Linked DNA regions of Canis lupus familiaris. The protein of the gene in region 2 interacts with the protein of the main gene of each other region in a biochemical or structural test. Links are inferred from orthologs where the notes say so. Each region holds a gene or a part of one and is shown on either strand. Other genes may lie near its edges.

Region 1 (5,065 bases), on a different chromosome or scaffold from region 2:
CAAATGCTATTTTATTCACAGGAAGAAAAACTCAATTACCTGAAGATCATGGCTTTACAAGAAGATCTGGAATATTAACCTTGGCTTTCCTAAGGTTTGGTGACTATTAGTTTGAAGGAATTCATGTTTTGAGGAGTACTTCAACAACACATGAATGGTCATATGTTTAACACAGCAGTCAGTGGTTACAGCAACAAGAGGTTTTGAAATCAAGTGGATGTGGAATGAAAATGGTTGATTCCACTTTGATGTTTTGTTTTTTTATAATCTCTAGGCCCAACATTGGCTCAAAGTCACAACCCTGAGATCAAGAGTCACATGCTCCACTGAGCCAGCAAGGTGCCCAGCTCTATTCCACTTTGTAAGTGGAATTCATTTTGCTGCCAATTTCTTTCAGAAACAGATCTCATCTTTTTTGGCTATTTCTGCTAAATGCCCACGCCCCCTCCTCACTGCTCTGGCTCCAGCCCTGCTCTCTGGCTAGCTCCCTTACCTCAAGCCCTCCCCAAGACTCCTCCCCTCACACTGGCTGCTTTGGATCATCCTATTCAATGATATAAGAATATCTAGTTTCTTTGCAACTAGAAACAAATCACCTCTTAATGCTTCCACAATAAATTGATTTGAAAGCTAAACTGGATTGCTCCTTATCCTAACATATACTAATTATAAATGTCAAAACAGGCTCAAACATGGCATTTTTTAAGCTTCAGAGAATATGAGACACATGTACAGTATCCAAACTTCATACACAAGCTATTCACTAAGATGGATTCCTATGACACAACATAAAGGCCTTAGTTTTCTCGACTTTAAAAACAAACAAAAAACCCACTTGCTTATTTTTTTTAACCTGTTTCCTTCTGGAAATCGATTTGAGGTATTCTCTTTCTGGCGATAGCTGTAGATGTGCTGTTAGGAGTATGATTGAGAGATTGGAAAGGCCAGCCAGAGCAAAGGTTTCCACAAGTCCAGCCCTGGCCTAGGATCGGTCAGTTGGCCTTAGTCTTTCAAGTATCACATGTATGATAAGATCTGAACCAAAGTGGTTTGCAGAAGTCACTGGAATTAGGCTGCTAGACAAAAGTCTTCTCTTCTACGGCTGAGCAGCTACCCAAGTCCACCACTGCCAGCAACTCTTCATGTTCACATCTTTGTGGCTACCCACCTTTCCTTTCCACCTTATACCCAGCCTACCAACTTGTTTCTTTGTATTCTTACTAGCTGGATTACTAGCTTCTGCTAATGTTTCCTCTGGATCTCCCTCTGAGCAAAGAAGAAAACTGTTCAGACTGCGAAGAAGTGCGTCTGCTACTGCATTGCATAAACACCTTCTTGGTCGCTCTCAAAAGAGCTGATGTGCTTCTCCAGTAAAAGTCTAGGGCCTTTCACAGAGATGCCCAGGCATACCAGGACACTTTCCTGACTGAAAAAAAAAAAAATTCAACTTGTCTAGCACATGCTATTTTCAGGATTTTATCTGATTGAATTGTTCTTTAAATGTAAGATTTGTGCACATTCATTTTGAATGAATTAAAATCAATCTCAATTTAAAAGTGATATTCCTAGAGCATATATAAACCCTATTTTTAATAACATCTCATGTGTCTATAATCCTGGGCCTAGAGTAAAAGCTCCAAATCTGATAGATCTGGGAGAAGAGCTCATAGATTTAACTTCCAAACACTGACTAGAATTTTTACCTTTCCCAACATTCTTTTGAAAACACTATAAAATATGACCAACTTTGGCAATACAGTTTCATACCCCATTAAAATCACCACGTTGAATTTAATGACATGATTTTTTGTGGTCTGATGAAATATACACTACATAAAGTTTGCCATTTTAACCATTTTTAAGTGTGCAGTTCTATACCATTAAGTATATTCACATTGTTGTGCAACTACCACCACCATCACCTCCCAAACGTTTCCTCCTCCCCAACTGAAATTCTGTATCTGTTACATAGTAATTCCCTATACCACTTCCCTATAGGCCCCTGGCAAGCACCATTCCACTTTCTGAATGACAGGATATTTCAATGATCTATCTCAACTATCTTCTACTGTTGGTTTAAACCACTGTCAAATCTATGCAGTGAGACTCTTGCTAATATTAACATGTCCATTCTCCAAAAGCACATTCTCTTTCCATTTCAGGCATATAACTTGGGAAAAGGGGGATTAAAAGTACAAATTTAAGTGAGCACTTTTTATTACCTTAGTCCTAGATTGCTATTTGCCTTCCTGTTGGTTTTTATGCAGGGACTTTTTTTTTTTTTTTTTTAAGATTTTATTTATTTATTCATGAGAGACACAGAGAGAGACAGAGAGAGAGAGAGAGAGAGAGAGAGAGAGGCAGAGACACAGGCAGAGGGAGAAGCAGGCTCCATGCAGGGAGCCCGATGTGGGACTTGATCCCAGAACTCCAGGATCACGCCCTGAGCCGAAGGCCAGCGCTAAACCACTGAGCCACCCAGGGATCCCCAATGCAGGGACACTTATTAACCTCTTTTTTAACTCATTTGCCATCTGTCTTGAATCTTCAAAGCTTAATTCCCTAAGAAGATTACAGGATTTTAACAGTTCGTCATGATGTCACTGTGAAAATCTTTGCAAGTGTCTCTCTGTTAACTCCTCTGCTTATCAAGCCACATAATTTGTTTTTATCACATACTCTAATTTCTTCTCTTTGGTGTTGTAACAGATTTTTTTTTTTTTTTTTTTGGTGTTGTAACAGATTAATATTCTTCAAAAAATTCTTCTCACTTACTGAAGTTGAGTCAGAGAATATGAGAATATTTGCTATTTTAAGGAAAAACTTAGATGTGTCAAAGTCATTTATAGATATCTTTTAAAAAGAGCAGATTACGCCTAATTATGTATTCCAATGGCACAGATTATTTACAAATAGGGAACTTAAAATTCTTTACTAAAATATTCTGGGAGTAGTATCCTGCTAATTTTCTGTATATTTTCATGGATATCCTATTTATTGACTGTAATACTAAGATGCACTGAGGTCACATACTCAGAATGGTTACTGAACAGTTTTCCAAGGTATTTTTTCAGAAGTGTTACCTCCAATGAGTACTTACCATGAACTTTGTTTCTCCTTTTGACAGAGTATCTGTAATAAAATGGACCTTCTGTAACTGTTCCACAACACGATGTAACAGTTTTGGCTGTGGAAACATAAATAGGAAATAAGAAGATTAATAAGATTAATAAAAAAACATTTTTAACATAAATTTTCTGATTATCTATGGAGAAATGCCTAGTATTCCTCTGTTCTAAGTACTTTTTTCTTCTAGCACAAAATTCATTTATCAAATGAAACATATTTTTAGGAGCCACCATTCTTCACCAATATCATGATACCCCCAAACAGACATCATTTGTGTTTATCTGCTTCATTAAATCAAAAAGTTAGCTGCTTCATCTTTAAAAGGTATATATTCTAAAATCACAAATGTTTTGCTTTCATGGGTTTTCTAATAGGAATAAAGTTTCTTAATATAATATTGCTTAATAGAAAAATATTACCTTAATGAAAACCTCAATATTATACTGGATATTTTAGAAATATCCATGATAGATAATAAATAATTCTGGAAATGTTTACTAAATTTTTTTCTTTTTCAAAAATCAGACTGTCCCTAATTCCCTGCAGAAAAACACCACTATGTATTCCCTTGCTTTTTTTTTTTTTTTTTAAATGTATCCCTTTCAACCACTTACTCTGCCTTTCACAGAATTCAATCAGTACAAAGTACAACTGACTTTTCAGAAAGATTAAAACAAAAATTCATTCCGGGATATCCAACTGCCATGTAGAAAATGATATTCACTGTTGCATAAGACTTAGCACATTTGATTATAAATAAATCCTGTGATACCTGTTTGGCTGATTCAGAGGTAAAGCTTGGATGGGTCAAAAGAACATCCATGTCACCACTGGACTCTGCACCTATGATAATAAAAATATGTATGGAATTCTCGATGTAAATCTATCAATTAGGCAAACGCAGAAACCAAAGTGATGTCACATGTATGAGCTTACTTCTTCCAGCCTAACTTTCTTTTTCACTACACTTCATACTCAGTTACAAGATTTCAATTTTCTGTTCAGCTATTCACATAGGCTGATGTAAATGGAAGAATCTGGAGTAACAACAGTAACTGGCATTAGATATGTATTACGCACAGTTGGCTACATGTATTAAAAATGCACCTAAATAACTACTCAATAATGAATAAAAACAACATTCTTACAAAGAAGACATTCAGATGGCCAAGAGACACACCAAAAGATGCCCATCATCTGGGAAATGCAAATCAAAACCACAATGAGATACCACTTCAAACCTGTCAGAATGGCTAACATTAGCAACACTAGAAACAACAGGTGTTGGCGAGGACATGGAACAAGGGGAACCCTCTTGCACTGTTGGTGGGAGTGCAAACTAATGCAGCCACTCTGGAACACAGTATAGAGGTTCTCCCAAAAATTAAAAATAAAATTGCCAATAAATTAATTAATTAATAAAATAAAATAAAATAAAATAAAATAACCATATGATCCAGTAGTTCTACTGCTAGGTAGTTACCCAACAAAAAACACTAATTCATAAAGATAACATGCACTCCTATGTTTACTGAAACATTATTTACAAAAGCCAAGAATCGGAAGCAACCAAGTTTCCATCAATAGATGACCAAGCAGTCCATCGACAGATGAATGAAGATATGGTAAATACACACAATAGAATATTACTTAGCCATAAAAAAACCCACGAATCTTGCCATTTGCAACAACATGGATGGATGCAGAGGATATTATGCTAAGTGAAGTAAATCAGTCATAGAAAGACAATTACCATATGATTTCACTCTTATATGGAATTTAAAAAACAAAACAGACAGTGACACCCGGGTGGCTCAGTGGTTGAGTGTCTGCCTTCATCTCAGGGCATGATCCCAGGGTCCCAGGACCAAGTCCCGCATCGGGCTCCCTGCATGGAGCCTGCTTCTCCCTCTATGTCTCTGCCTCTCTCTCTGCA
Region 2 (4,873 bases):
CCTGCTGACCCTGCTCCTTGTCCCCACACTGGGCAGCGCCGGGGATCTGGAGAGTGGTTAGACCAGGGCCTGCCAGTGGGGAACACAGGCGGGCTCCTCCAGCGTCAGCAGGCTTCTGAGAGGCAGGGCAGGGGCTGCACGGCTGCTGAGGAGGAGGGAGGACTTTCCCAGGGTCTCAGGGCTCTGTGAAGTCTGCTTAGGGAGACTGAGAAGCATGGCAGGCTGGAGAAATTGCTGCAAAAGGCGCATGTGCCTAGCATGTGGGAAATCCCATGTAAGCATCAGCTGTTCTTGTTGTGATAGAGCTAGGGACCCCTTCTCCTGGAGTGTCAGCCACTTAAGGTCCCATGCCATGAATATAGTGTCAAGGTCTTTAAAAACATATTTGCTTTTGAGGATTTTCCCTTGACTGATAGGTATTCTCCTAATGAGAAACTGCTTTTGATTCTCAAAGGGGAAAATTATTTCTGGGTTGTTGTTGTTTTTTTCCTTTCTGAAATGGGGCATTTCTTTCCCAAGAGGGCGGGGAAGCAAGCCAGTGAGGCCCATGTCTCTGCTGTGGGTGGCTGTGGTGACTGATGGGTTCAGTGGGGCCCTTCCAAACCTGGAAGCCAGGGCATCCTGAATGATTAGTAAATGCCATTTGCTGTGGCTTCCTGAGCACTGGCCCCCACGCCCACCTCATATCCTCTGGAGGACACGATATGCCGTTTGTCTGAGGCCTGATTCCTCCTCCTAGGTACCTCATGGCAGGACCAAGCTCCAGCAGTGAGGATGAGGGGGGCTCTCACAGCGGCAGCAGCGGGGATGAGGCCCCCAAGCTTCCCCAAAAGGTCCTATGCCCCCTGCCATGGTGGGGAAGGTGCAGTGGGAGGAAGACATGGGTCTGTTGTGGAACCCCAGACTCTCCATCCTTGTCTTCAGCAAGAACACATACTCATACCCATGCTGCCTTCCCTTCTCAGCGCCCCCAGACCAAAACTAAGCTGCCTCAGGCAGCAGGACCCAGCTCACCCCAGAGACCCAAAACCCCAGAAGAGACCAAACCAGCCTCACCAGGGCCCCAGGAAGATACGGACAGTGAGGGGGAGCAGTCAGGTCAGAACCTAAGGGAGGAGGGGTTGGGGGCCTGGACTCTTGGGTCTGAGGGAGGGAAGGGGTTTTAGGTCTTAAGCCTGAGAGAAGAGGGGGCTGGGGACCTGGACTGCTGGGTTCTTGGAGAAGAGAGGGATGAGATCCTTCAGATCTGAAGGGAGGAGAAGGGGCTGGGGCCTGGACTCCTGCATCTGAGGGAGAAGATGGCTGGAAACCCAGACTCCTGTATCTAAGGGAGGTAGGGCTGGATCCCAGACAGTGGACCTAGGGGAGGGGAGGCTGAAGTCCCAGATAACTGGATCTGGAGGGCAGTTGAGGTTGAGGCCTGGCATGCCTGCATCTGTGCTTGGGCGAGAGACCAAGAAGGAAGGTTACCAAACACGTGCCCTTCATTGACCAAGCTTCCACTTGCAGAAGAACAGGGCAATGGGGCAGAAGATTCTGGGGATACCGAGGATGAGCTGAGAAGGTAAGGTGGGGCTGGGGGTGTCGAGGTAGTCCCAGACTTGGGTGGAGGGGGATCTGGTCTGCATGCTCTTCCCCCACGCCCTGTTGTCTCTCCCAGGGTGGCTGAGCAGAGGGAACAGAAGCAGCCCCCTGACCAGGGGGAAAATGGTGAGGACCCGTATGCAGGATCCACAGACGAGAACACAGACCACGAGGGTCCCCCAGAGTCTCCTGACCTGCCAGTTCCCGAGCTCCCAGGTAGGAAATCCCTCCCTGCCTCCTTACATGGGATCTGCCTTTCTCAGTTCTCAGCTGTGACTCCCACCACCCAACCCTTGGATTGAGGCTGCTTCCCATGACTTGTGATTTGTCTCCCCACCTCCTTCCCCCATAATCCCTGCCTCTGCTACCTTTTTGTTGTCTTAGGAAGCAGACACCCTCTTATGACTTCCCTCTCTGTTCCCCCTCCTGACTTCCTGCTGTGACCGCCTCCATCACAGCCCAGGGCTGGGCATGACCCCCTCTGGCTTTCTACTCAAGTGCCAATGGTGCCTCCTTCACCTGCCTCTCGGGTTCAGGTCTGTCAGCATGGGAGGTCACCCAGGCACACAGGTGACATGGGCATGGGTCTCTTGGGGCCTCAGTGGTGATGGCATTGCTATTTGTCCTCCTAACATGAGTGCAGGGGGCATGGGACAGGCAGGGGTGAGAACCTTGGCCAACAGAGAATGGAGGGAGGAGCTAGGCAGCCAGGGTCTGCACAGAGGTGAGGGTCAGTGGCAACTGGAAGAGGCTATTTCTATACGGTTCCCTGTGGGTCTGATGGGCAGGAAAGTGCTTTGATCCTCCAAAGCCCCAAAAGTGTCATCCGCAGATTGATGATTTGGAGAACTATGTTAAGATGGAACAAAGAACAGAGGTGTCCTGAAGGTCAGAGCCGGGGAAGGCACTGGCTGGTAGAGGACTGTGACAGCCAGGGTGAGCAAGTGACAGGCTCTAAGGCTGTGAACTGGGCCACATGAGCTAGGTGCCACCAGCCCATCTGTGATGTACCTCATGGAAGAAACACATAGCAGTAATAGTCATTTTGTCTCTCACCATGAAAGCAAAGCAAAACAAAACAAAACTCCAGTTCCCAGAAAAGTTCTATGGGCCTGGCTGAGAATCACCGTTTGTGACAAATGTCTCTGCCAGGGCATGAATGAACAGGCCTCCCAGCCACTATACTGGCCTCCTTCGGGTCTTGCCTTCAAGTGCTCTGTGGCTCCTGGCTGGTGCTTTGAAACTCCAGGCGCCTCACACTTGGCACCTCCACCATCTTTCCTGCAGACTTCTTCCAGGGCAAACACTTCTTCTTGTACGGAGAATTCCCTGGGGACGAGCGGCGGAAGCTCAGGCGATATGTCACAGCCTTCAATGGGTCAGTCTCCAGGGGTGGGGGCGAGGGCAGAGAGGGATTATGCTAAGTTGTGGGAAGGAAGGCGATTGGGAAGATGGAGAAGGGGTACAGCCTGCTGGATGGGCACAGGCTCTGCTTGCTCTGCTGGGCCCCCCGGGATGTATAACTTTCCCTCTCTTCCTCTTCTCTACAATGAGGCCCCCTCTTCCTGCTCACCTTCTGAAAGGATTAGCAGTAGTGGGAGCCCTTGGTATTGTGGCTGTGGCAAGGCTGGCTCGGGGAGAGTGGGGGCCCACAGGGTAGCCCGTAGGGAATGGAGGTGAGGATGAAGGGAAGACAGCCTTGGAGAATGGTTGAGGAGTCGGATGTCAGGAGAAGAGACACTGACTCTCTGCCTCCTGCCAGGGAACTTGAGGACTATATGAGTGACCGGGTCCAGTTTGTGATCACTGCACAAGAGTGGGACCCCAGTTTTGAGGAGGTGAGCTCCAGAGGGGTGGGGAAAGGGACACCCAGCCCGCCCTTGTGTCACCTCCACCATCACCTCACTCACATGTTCCTGTATTCACCCCTCCCCACCCTGCAGGCCCTGATGGACAACCCCTCCTTGGTGTTTGTCCGGCCCCGATGGATCTACAGTTGCAACGAGAAGCAGAAGTTACTTCCCCACCAGCTTTATGGGGTGGTGCCCCAGGCCTAGAGTATGTGCTTGCATGCACTTGCACATGCTTGAGCGCGCGCGCACACACAAGATGAGCTCAATAAAGGTGATCTGGTTTGGAGTAGCTGCCCCTCTTACTCAGAAATCTCCTGAACCTCCTAGAGGGCCCCAGATTGTTGTCATAAGTTTGGTTTTTGCTTCCCTTCTGAGGGTCAGGTGTCTTGGCTGCCTTAAGACCCCTGCCCTGGGGTCCTAGAAAGAATGAGGGGCTCTCTTTCAGGGGTTAGATAGGGAAGGAGCTCTTTGTCACTTCTCCCTGGCAACTTACCCCTGTAGTGGCAGGTGGCCGGGAATTGGGATTCTAACCCATTGAGCCCATTCCTAGGTCTTGTTTGTCCCTTTCTGAGTCCTGGGCTGGAGGCCTAGATGCTCGTGAGGTGTGCTTCCCAGCTCCCCCGGGGCCAGGGATATCTCCCTTTTTTTCAGGGCTTTCAGAAGTGGTTGTGGAACTGTCCCCAGCATGGTAGAACAGGGGGAAGGGGCATTTGAGCCCCCTCAAGCCTCCACCACATTTAAGTTGGGAACTGGGCAAGTGTTAGAGAAGTGGACGGAAGGTAGGATGGAGTTCTAGGCAGGGGCCGGGGCATGGGCAAAGGCCTGGCTCCCTGGGGTCAGTTGCTTAAGAGGCTTTAGGGGCAGATCTGTCTGGAAGGATGGACATAGTCTTTGCAGCTTTGCTAACATGGTAGCCTGTGGACCTGGGTAACTATAAATGAACTGCAATGAAATGAAGGGGAAATTTTACTCTGTTGATGACACTGGCTACCCTGCAGGTGTTCTGTGGCTGCTGTAATAGAGAGCACAGATAGAGTACATTTGCTTCACTATAGAAGCAAAAGGACAGGGCTGTCCCGAAGGGCTGTGAACACCAGGTTGAGAAGCGTGGATGTTATCCTGGAGCTGGGAAGGTCAGGAAGGGGTTGGAACAGTCAGATCTCAATAACAAATGACCATAAACTTAGTGTCTTAAGCCCACGGAAACTTAGAACTTTCCAGGTCTGGATGTCTCACATCCAAAATGGGTCTACGGGGCTAAAATTCAGGGTGTAGGCAGGGCTGTGTTCCTTTGGAGGCTCTGGGGGAAATCTGCTTTCTTGTCTTTTCCCCTTGTCTTCTGTATTCTTTTTTTTTTTTTTTTTTAAGATTTTTTAATTGTTTATTTAAATACACAGAGAGGAGAGAGAGGCAGAGACACAGGCAGAGGGAGAAGC
Region 3 (5,014 bases), about 4.9 Mb from region 2:
AGCAGCAGCAGCGCGGGGTGAGGTGGCGAGCTCTCCCCCCAATCCCCTGCCCAGCTACCCCTCCTCACCCCCACCCCTACCACTGATGCCCCTCCCCACTTTCCTCCCCCACAGATGGGGGGGTAGTGGCCACCCCCAGGCTGGGCCCCTCCAGGAGTCACAGACGAGGCCCCCGCCAAAACTGGTGAGTAGCACCCGGCTCGAGCGCAGGAAGGACCCTCAGTGGTGTCCGGGTTTGGGATATGATCATGTGACCCTGGCGTGGAGTTCCAAGCAGAGAGGCGTATCTGTGCCTTGTGGTCCCCAGGGTCTCCTGGGCAAGTATAGCCCTCTCTCCCCCAGGAGGTGATGAAGCTGTGGTTTCCAGGCTGGGATTGGAGGGCCCATGGGGTGCTGGGAGGCCCTGTCCAGGCCCTCCCACTCTCCTCCTGCCCCCAGGTCAGATGCTTCTGAGCAGGGGCCCCTGGGGATGGCTACTGCCCAGCGAGATGGAGGACAGCGTCCGGAGAGGTCTCCGCGGACGGTCCCCACCCCTGTACGTTTCCCCAATAAAGTCTTTTAAAAGCCCGTTGGCCACTAGGCTCCGTGTCCAGATGCCTTGGCAGGGGAGATGCCAGTGGAGCCGAGCGCCATGGGTTCCCAGAAGGCTGATGGCCTAAGGCCCCCTGCCCTAGGCTAGAGTCCCTCAGCTTGATGGGACCCAGGAGTATGAATTTCCATCAGATTTCTGGGGGAGGCCACCTTTCGTGAGGTCACCTGAGCTAGAAGGAAGGACACTCTTCACAGAGCTGCTTGTGCCTTCAGGGGCAGGTGTGTCCCCAGCTGACTGGCCCACGCAGCGGATGGTGGCCCCATCTTCCTGGGCCTCCCTGGAGCTGGCTGGCTGTATTCCTGGGCCCAGGGCCTGCTCTCCTCCATCCTTTGGGATTCAACAGGCCTCACTTGGCTGGCAGCAAACACAGGCCATCCAGGACTTGCTGGGGGTTTGGGGCCTGGCAGGGCTCTCAGCAGCGCCCCCTACTGCTCAGGTCCGGGCTGCCATTCCTCACTCACCAGATTCGGGATCCAGCTCTTGTCCTCAGGGTCACATCATGGGTGCTCCTTGGCTGGCTCTGCAGCTGGGCAGCCCGCGGGTGAGGAAAAGCCCCCGCCCCCACCCCGCACCCCTTTGGGCCCTGCCCCTCTGGATTCCCCACCCTCTGTTTAGGGTGCCCACAGCCACAGTTCTGAGGAAGCCTAAACTACCCTCCCTGGGAAAGGCCTGTGGTCCGAGTGCGCAGCTCAGCGCAGATCCCTGGGGGTCCGTGCCCCGAGGCCTGGGAGGCCGGCAGGTCTGTGCTCCCCCGTCCCCGGGGACTCGCCCGGGTGCCTGTCCTCACTGGGTAGACTACCCTTCTTTCAGCATGATGCTGTCCAAGCTTAAAAAAAAAAAAAAAACAATTTATTGGGGGCAGGGGCAGGGGCAGGGGCGGGGGCGGGGGCGGGGGGGGTGGGGATGCGCAGCTCAGCCCTCTGAGAACTGGCAGTAGAGCCGTTCAAGCCGAGGCTCCAGGTTCAGCCGGAACGGGATTTCCAGGATTGCCGAAAATCCTTCTGCCAGGGTCGGGGCCTCGAACTGCTTTCTGGCAGCAGGGGTGATGGGGGAAGGTGAGACCCAGCTGGGGTCCGGTCCACCCCCCACCTCCTCACCTCCCCACTAGGCTTCTGTGTTTACCTGTAGCCATACATGACCACATCGGACACGGGGGCGTGAGAGGAGCCCGTCATCTCTCGGAACTGCAGGGGGTGGGGGTTGGGGTTAGGTCTGGGAATTGGGGGCCTGGAGGCGGTCGGGACGGCAGGGGCAGGGGCCAGCTTACCCGGTTATTGTGGCGTGCATGCTCCAGGGTGGTGCTGAAGAGGAAGCAGCGGCAGGGCACACCTGCGTCTCGGGCACACTTAATGTACCTGTTGGGGCCAGGAAGGGGCCAGGCTGGTAAGGGGTGCTGAGCCCACCCTATAGAGGCTGCCCATGGGAGCCCAGTACCTGGCCCGGGTCGGAGGGTCTGGGTTTGTGTTGTCAATCACAACCCGTTTCCTCTGCTTTAGAGCATTCTCACACGTGGTCACGCAGCGCTGCCATGAGCCCAGGGTGTCCTGGGGGATACAAGGTGACAGACCCTGAGTGGGAGAGGGCAGGAGAAACAAGGGAAGCAGACACCTAGGGAGAACCTAGGTGGGGTAGGGAATGGGCACAGAAGATGGAAGGATCAGGGACTCTGCGCTCAGCCTGGGCACATTGGGGGGGGGCCTGTCTCACCCTGTTCACGTGCACGTATCCTGCTGACACAAGATGCTCTTGGAGGAAGGTGGACTTGCCAGCTGTGAGGCAGGGGCAAGGTCAGTGGGGGCCCAAGGACCCAGAGCTGGACTGGGGCTTCTGAGGTCAAGGGGTCAAGGTGTCTCACCCCCAGGAAATCCCACGGCGACAACCACTTCAGGGTCGTGGCTCAAGAGGGAGCTGGACTCCGGGAGGCAAAGCGGCCCCGAGGGGGAGACGGTTCTCTGGGAGGGGTGGTAGTGATGAGCAAGACCCTCTCCTCCTCTCCCGACTCCCACTCCCACCCCGAAGGCCTCACCGGGTCAAAGGTGGGGAGCACGAAGTTGGCAACGGGCCACTTGAGAAAGAACTCCTCTGGTGTGGCGAAGGGCAGGCCAAGGTTGAGAGCAAACTGGCGGGGAGGGGACGACAGGGGACACAGACATCAGATAAGGTGGGGACACAGCTCCAGGCCAGCAGGGGAAAGGAGCCTCACCAGACGGTCTGCACAAGAGAAGTCTTTCTTCTTTCGGCCAGGGGCCCAGTTGGCTGGTCGTCCAGCTGCATCTGGGACAGAAGACAGCTCCATGTCCACCAGCGGCCCAGCCGAGGGGATCCACACACTCCCCATCCCTGGGTCCTTACCTCCCACGAACATGCTGTCCCCGATGGAGACAGGCACACCTTCGTTGCCCTAGGGAGGGACAGGTGACAACAGGCAGTAAGGAACCCACCCACTCCCATGCCTGCTCCCCTAGAATACTAATGGGGGTTGCGAGGATGCTGAGCTGGGCCTGACGTCTGGCCTCTCCTGCCCCAGTTCAGCATCATATCCTGGTGGCACGTCTGGCCTCTCCTGCCCCAGTTCAGCATCATATCCTGGTGGCGCTGCCACTGCTGGGCCACTTCCTACCCCCCTTCACTGTTCCATCCCCATTGCGTCTGTTCCCTACACAGCCACCAGGGGGGTGTCAGTTCCCACTTCTGTAGATTCCTCTCCTCCCAGCCCTCCTGGGCCCCATCCCTTTGCCCCCTGGCTGGGTAAAAGGGAAGACCTTACCTTACCCACAAGGCCTCACGATCTGACACCTGCCCGATCTCTGACCCTACGCCCCACCCTTACCCCATCATCCATTCAGGTCCTGCTACCCAGGCCTCTTCACTGTCCCTGAACACACTAGTCATAGCCCTGCCTCGGGACCTTTACATGTGCTTTACACATGCTGTTACTCCCACCTGGAAGCTCTTCCTAGGTTCCCCTGCGAGGCTCCCTCCCTCACTAGCTTCATAATTACAAGGGCACCTTGGAGAGGCCTACCTAACCCCTGTAGGTAAACCCTGCCTCACCTCACTTCACTCCCACCATTTCACACCCAGTCTGTGCACCTCTAGTCTGCACCCTCGCTGGTATGTGAGCCCCAGCAGGTCTGTCTCATACGCTAACAAATTCAGCTCAAGAAGCTGTTGAGCTTCAGAACAAAGGCACACACAAGAGAATACATGGACAACTGATGTGTCCCTGGACCATCCTGATCTTCAGAGTTGAAGAGTGCTGTCCGCCTGTACCTAGACTGGGACTGGTGGAAAAGGAGGCAAGGACCAGGGAATGAGATGAGAAGAGGAGAGAGGAGGTGGCCAAACAGCAGAGACCTGTGGCAGGGGGAGGCTGGGCTGAGTGAGGGAAGAAGGGAGCTACTGGGAGGCCACCACTCACCTGTTCCCGCAGATGGTCCCACATGCCGATCACTGGCTTCCGGTACAAGCCGGCGTGTGTGGCCACCAGCACCTGTGGGTGAAGGTCAGACACCCTCCTGGGCTCCTTCCCCAAATCCTTCGAGGGTGCATGGGTGCCAGGGATGCTACCCCTTCACCAACCCAGAGGACTCCAGATGCCCAAGAACCCATTTATGATGGGTTTCTACCAGCATAACCCTGCCGGGGGGCCTCCACTGCCTTCTGGTACGTATGCCTTCTCCCTGGGTCTCTGTTCCCTCCTCTCTGTCACGGTCTGACACCGTGACACTAACTCTGTCCCTGCCTCTGTCTGGGTCCCTGTCCCCCAACCTCTATGACTCAAGCTCCCTTGCAGCCATACCTGAAAGGGGAGGCCCAGTTTCTCCACCACAGCCTCCACTTTAGCCTTGAACTCCTCTGCCGGCAGCTTCCCGCGCCCAATGGCCATCTGGTTGGTGAAGATCACCAGCTGGGGGGGGGAAGCATGGATGTCACCTGGTGCCCTTCTCAGTGGGGCCCCAGCCTCCCTGTGGCCTGGTCTCCATGCACAAAAGCACACATACCTTGTAGCCTTCGGCATCCAGCTCCCGGAGCTTACGTGGAATCTCCAGGTATAAGATCCTAGGGTGGGTGGGAAAGCAGGTAGGTGACCTGGGGCCCACGGGGGCCTCACTCACCCCCTTGGTCTGCCTCTTATCACCTCCAGTCGGTGGGGCCGGTGGGAAAGACTTTCCCAGAGCGTGTGGTGATGAGGGTCCCGTCCAAATCAAAGCCAGCCACCTGATGTCAGCAAGAAAAGAGGAACAGCGACCCTGTTATGCCTCTGATCTCGACTCACAGGCTACATCACGTCACCTCTGCAACGTAGAGACATTACCACTTGCCCGTCACTAAATGGGAAACTGAGTCACAGCCTACACATCTTACGTTTAGGGGAAGGCACAGGAAGAATGTGTCCCTACCACCTGAGTGCAGAGCCCG

Evidence for each region.
Region 1: the proteins of XRCC1 (region 2) and POLB form a complex in vitro, tested with the Homo sapiens proteins (5 studies listed by BioGRID, with this or other methods). The link is inferred for Canis lupus familiaris from reciprocal best matches to the Homo sapiens genes XRCC1 and POLB.
Region 3: the proteins of XRCC1 (region 2) and PNKP form a complex in vitro, tested with the Homo sapiens proteins (3 studies listed by BioGRID and IntAct, with this or other methods). The link is inferred for Canis lupus familiaris from reciprocal best matches to the Homo sapiens genes XRCC1 and PNKP.

What each region holds. Positions count from the first base shown.
Region 1 is NC_049237.1:24,043,801-24,048,865, forward strand, and holds part of POLB (DNA polymerase beta), read right to left. Parts: intron 3,973-5,065; coding exon 3,902-3,972; intron 3,188-3,901; coding exon 3,101-3,187; intron 1-3,100.
Region 2 is NC_049222.1:112,284,443-112,289,315, forward strand, and holds the end of XRCC1 (DNA repair protein XRCC1), read left to right. Parts: intron 1-739; coding exon 740-833; intron 834-965; coding exon 966-1,098; intron 1,099-1,509; coding exon 1,510-1,564; intron 1,565-1,660; coding exon 1,661-1,800; intron 1,801-2,871; coding exon 2,872-2,962; intron 2,963-3,346; coding exon 3,347-3,422; intron 3,423-3,527; coding exon 3,528-3,641; 3' UTR 3,642-3,726; downstream 3,727-4,873. UniProt on the Homo sapiens protein: Scaffold protein involved in DNA single-strand break repair by mediating the assembly of DNA break repair protein complexes. Negatively regulates ADP-ribosyltransferase activity of PARP1 during base-excision repair in order to prevent excessive PARP1 activity.
Region 3 is NC_049222.1:107,374,001-107,379,014, reverse strand, and holds the end of PNKP (bifunctional polynucleotide phosphatase/kinase), read right to left. Parts: intron 4,814-5,014; coding exon 4,734-4,813; intron 4,655-4,733; coding exon 4,597-4,654; intron 4,503-4,596; coding exon 4,395-4,502; intron 4,086-4,394; coding exon 4,014-4,085; intron 2,994-4,013; coding exon 2,945-2,993; intron 2,867-2,944; coding exon 2,796-2,866; intron 2,712-2,795; coding exon 2,619-2,711; intron 2,545-2,618; coding exon 2,448-2,544; intron 2,362-2,447; coding exon 2,300-2,361; intron 2,137-2,299; coding exon 2,027-2,136; intron 1,948-2,026; coding exon 1,860-1,947; intron 1,777-1,859; coding exon 1,715-1,776; intron 1,623-1,714; coding exon 1,505-1,622; 3' UTR 1,466-1,504; downstream 1-1,465. Other genes in the region: PTOV1 (prostate tumor-overexpressed gene 1 protein), read left to right, coding at 1-17, 115-126. UniProt on the Homo sapiens protein: Plays a key role in the repair of DNA damage, functioning as part of both the non-homologous end-joining (NHEJ) and base excision repair (BER) pathways.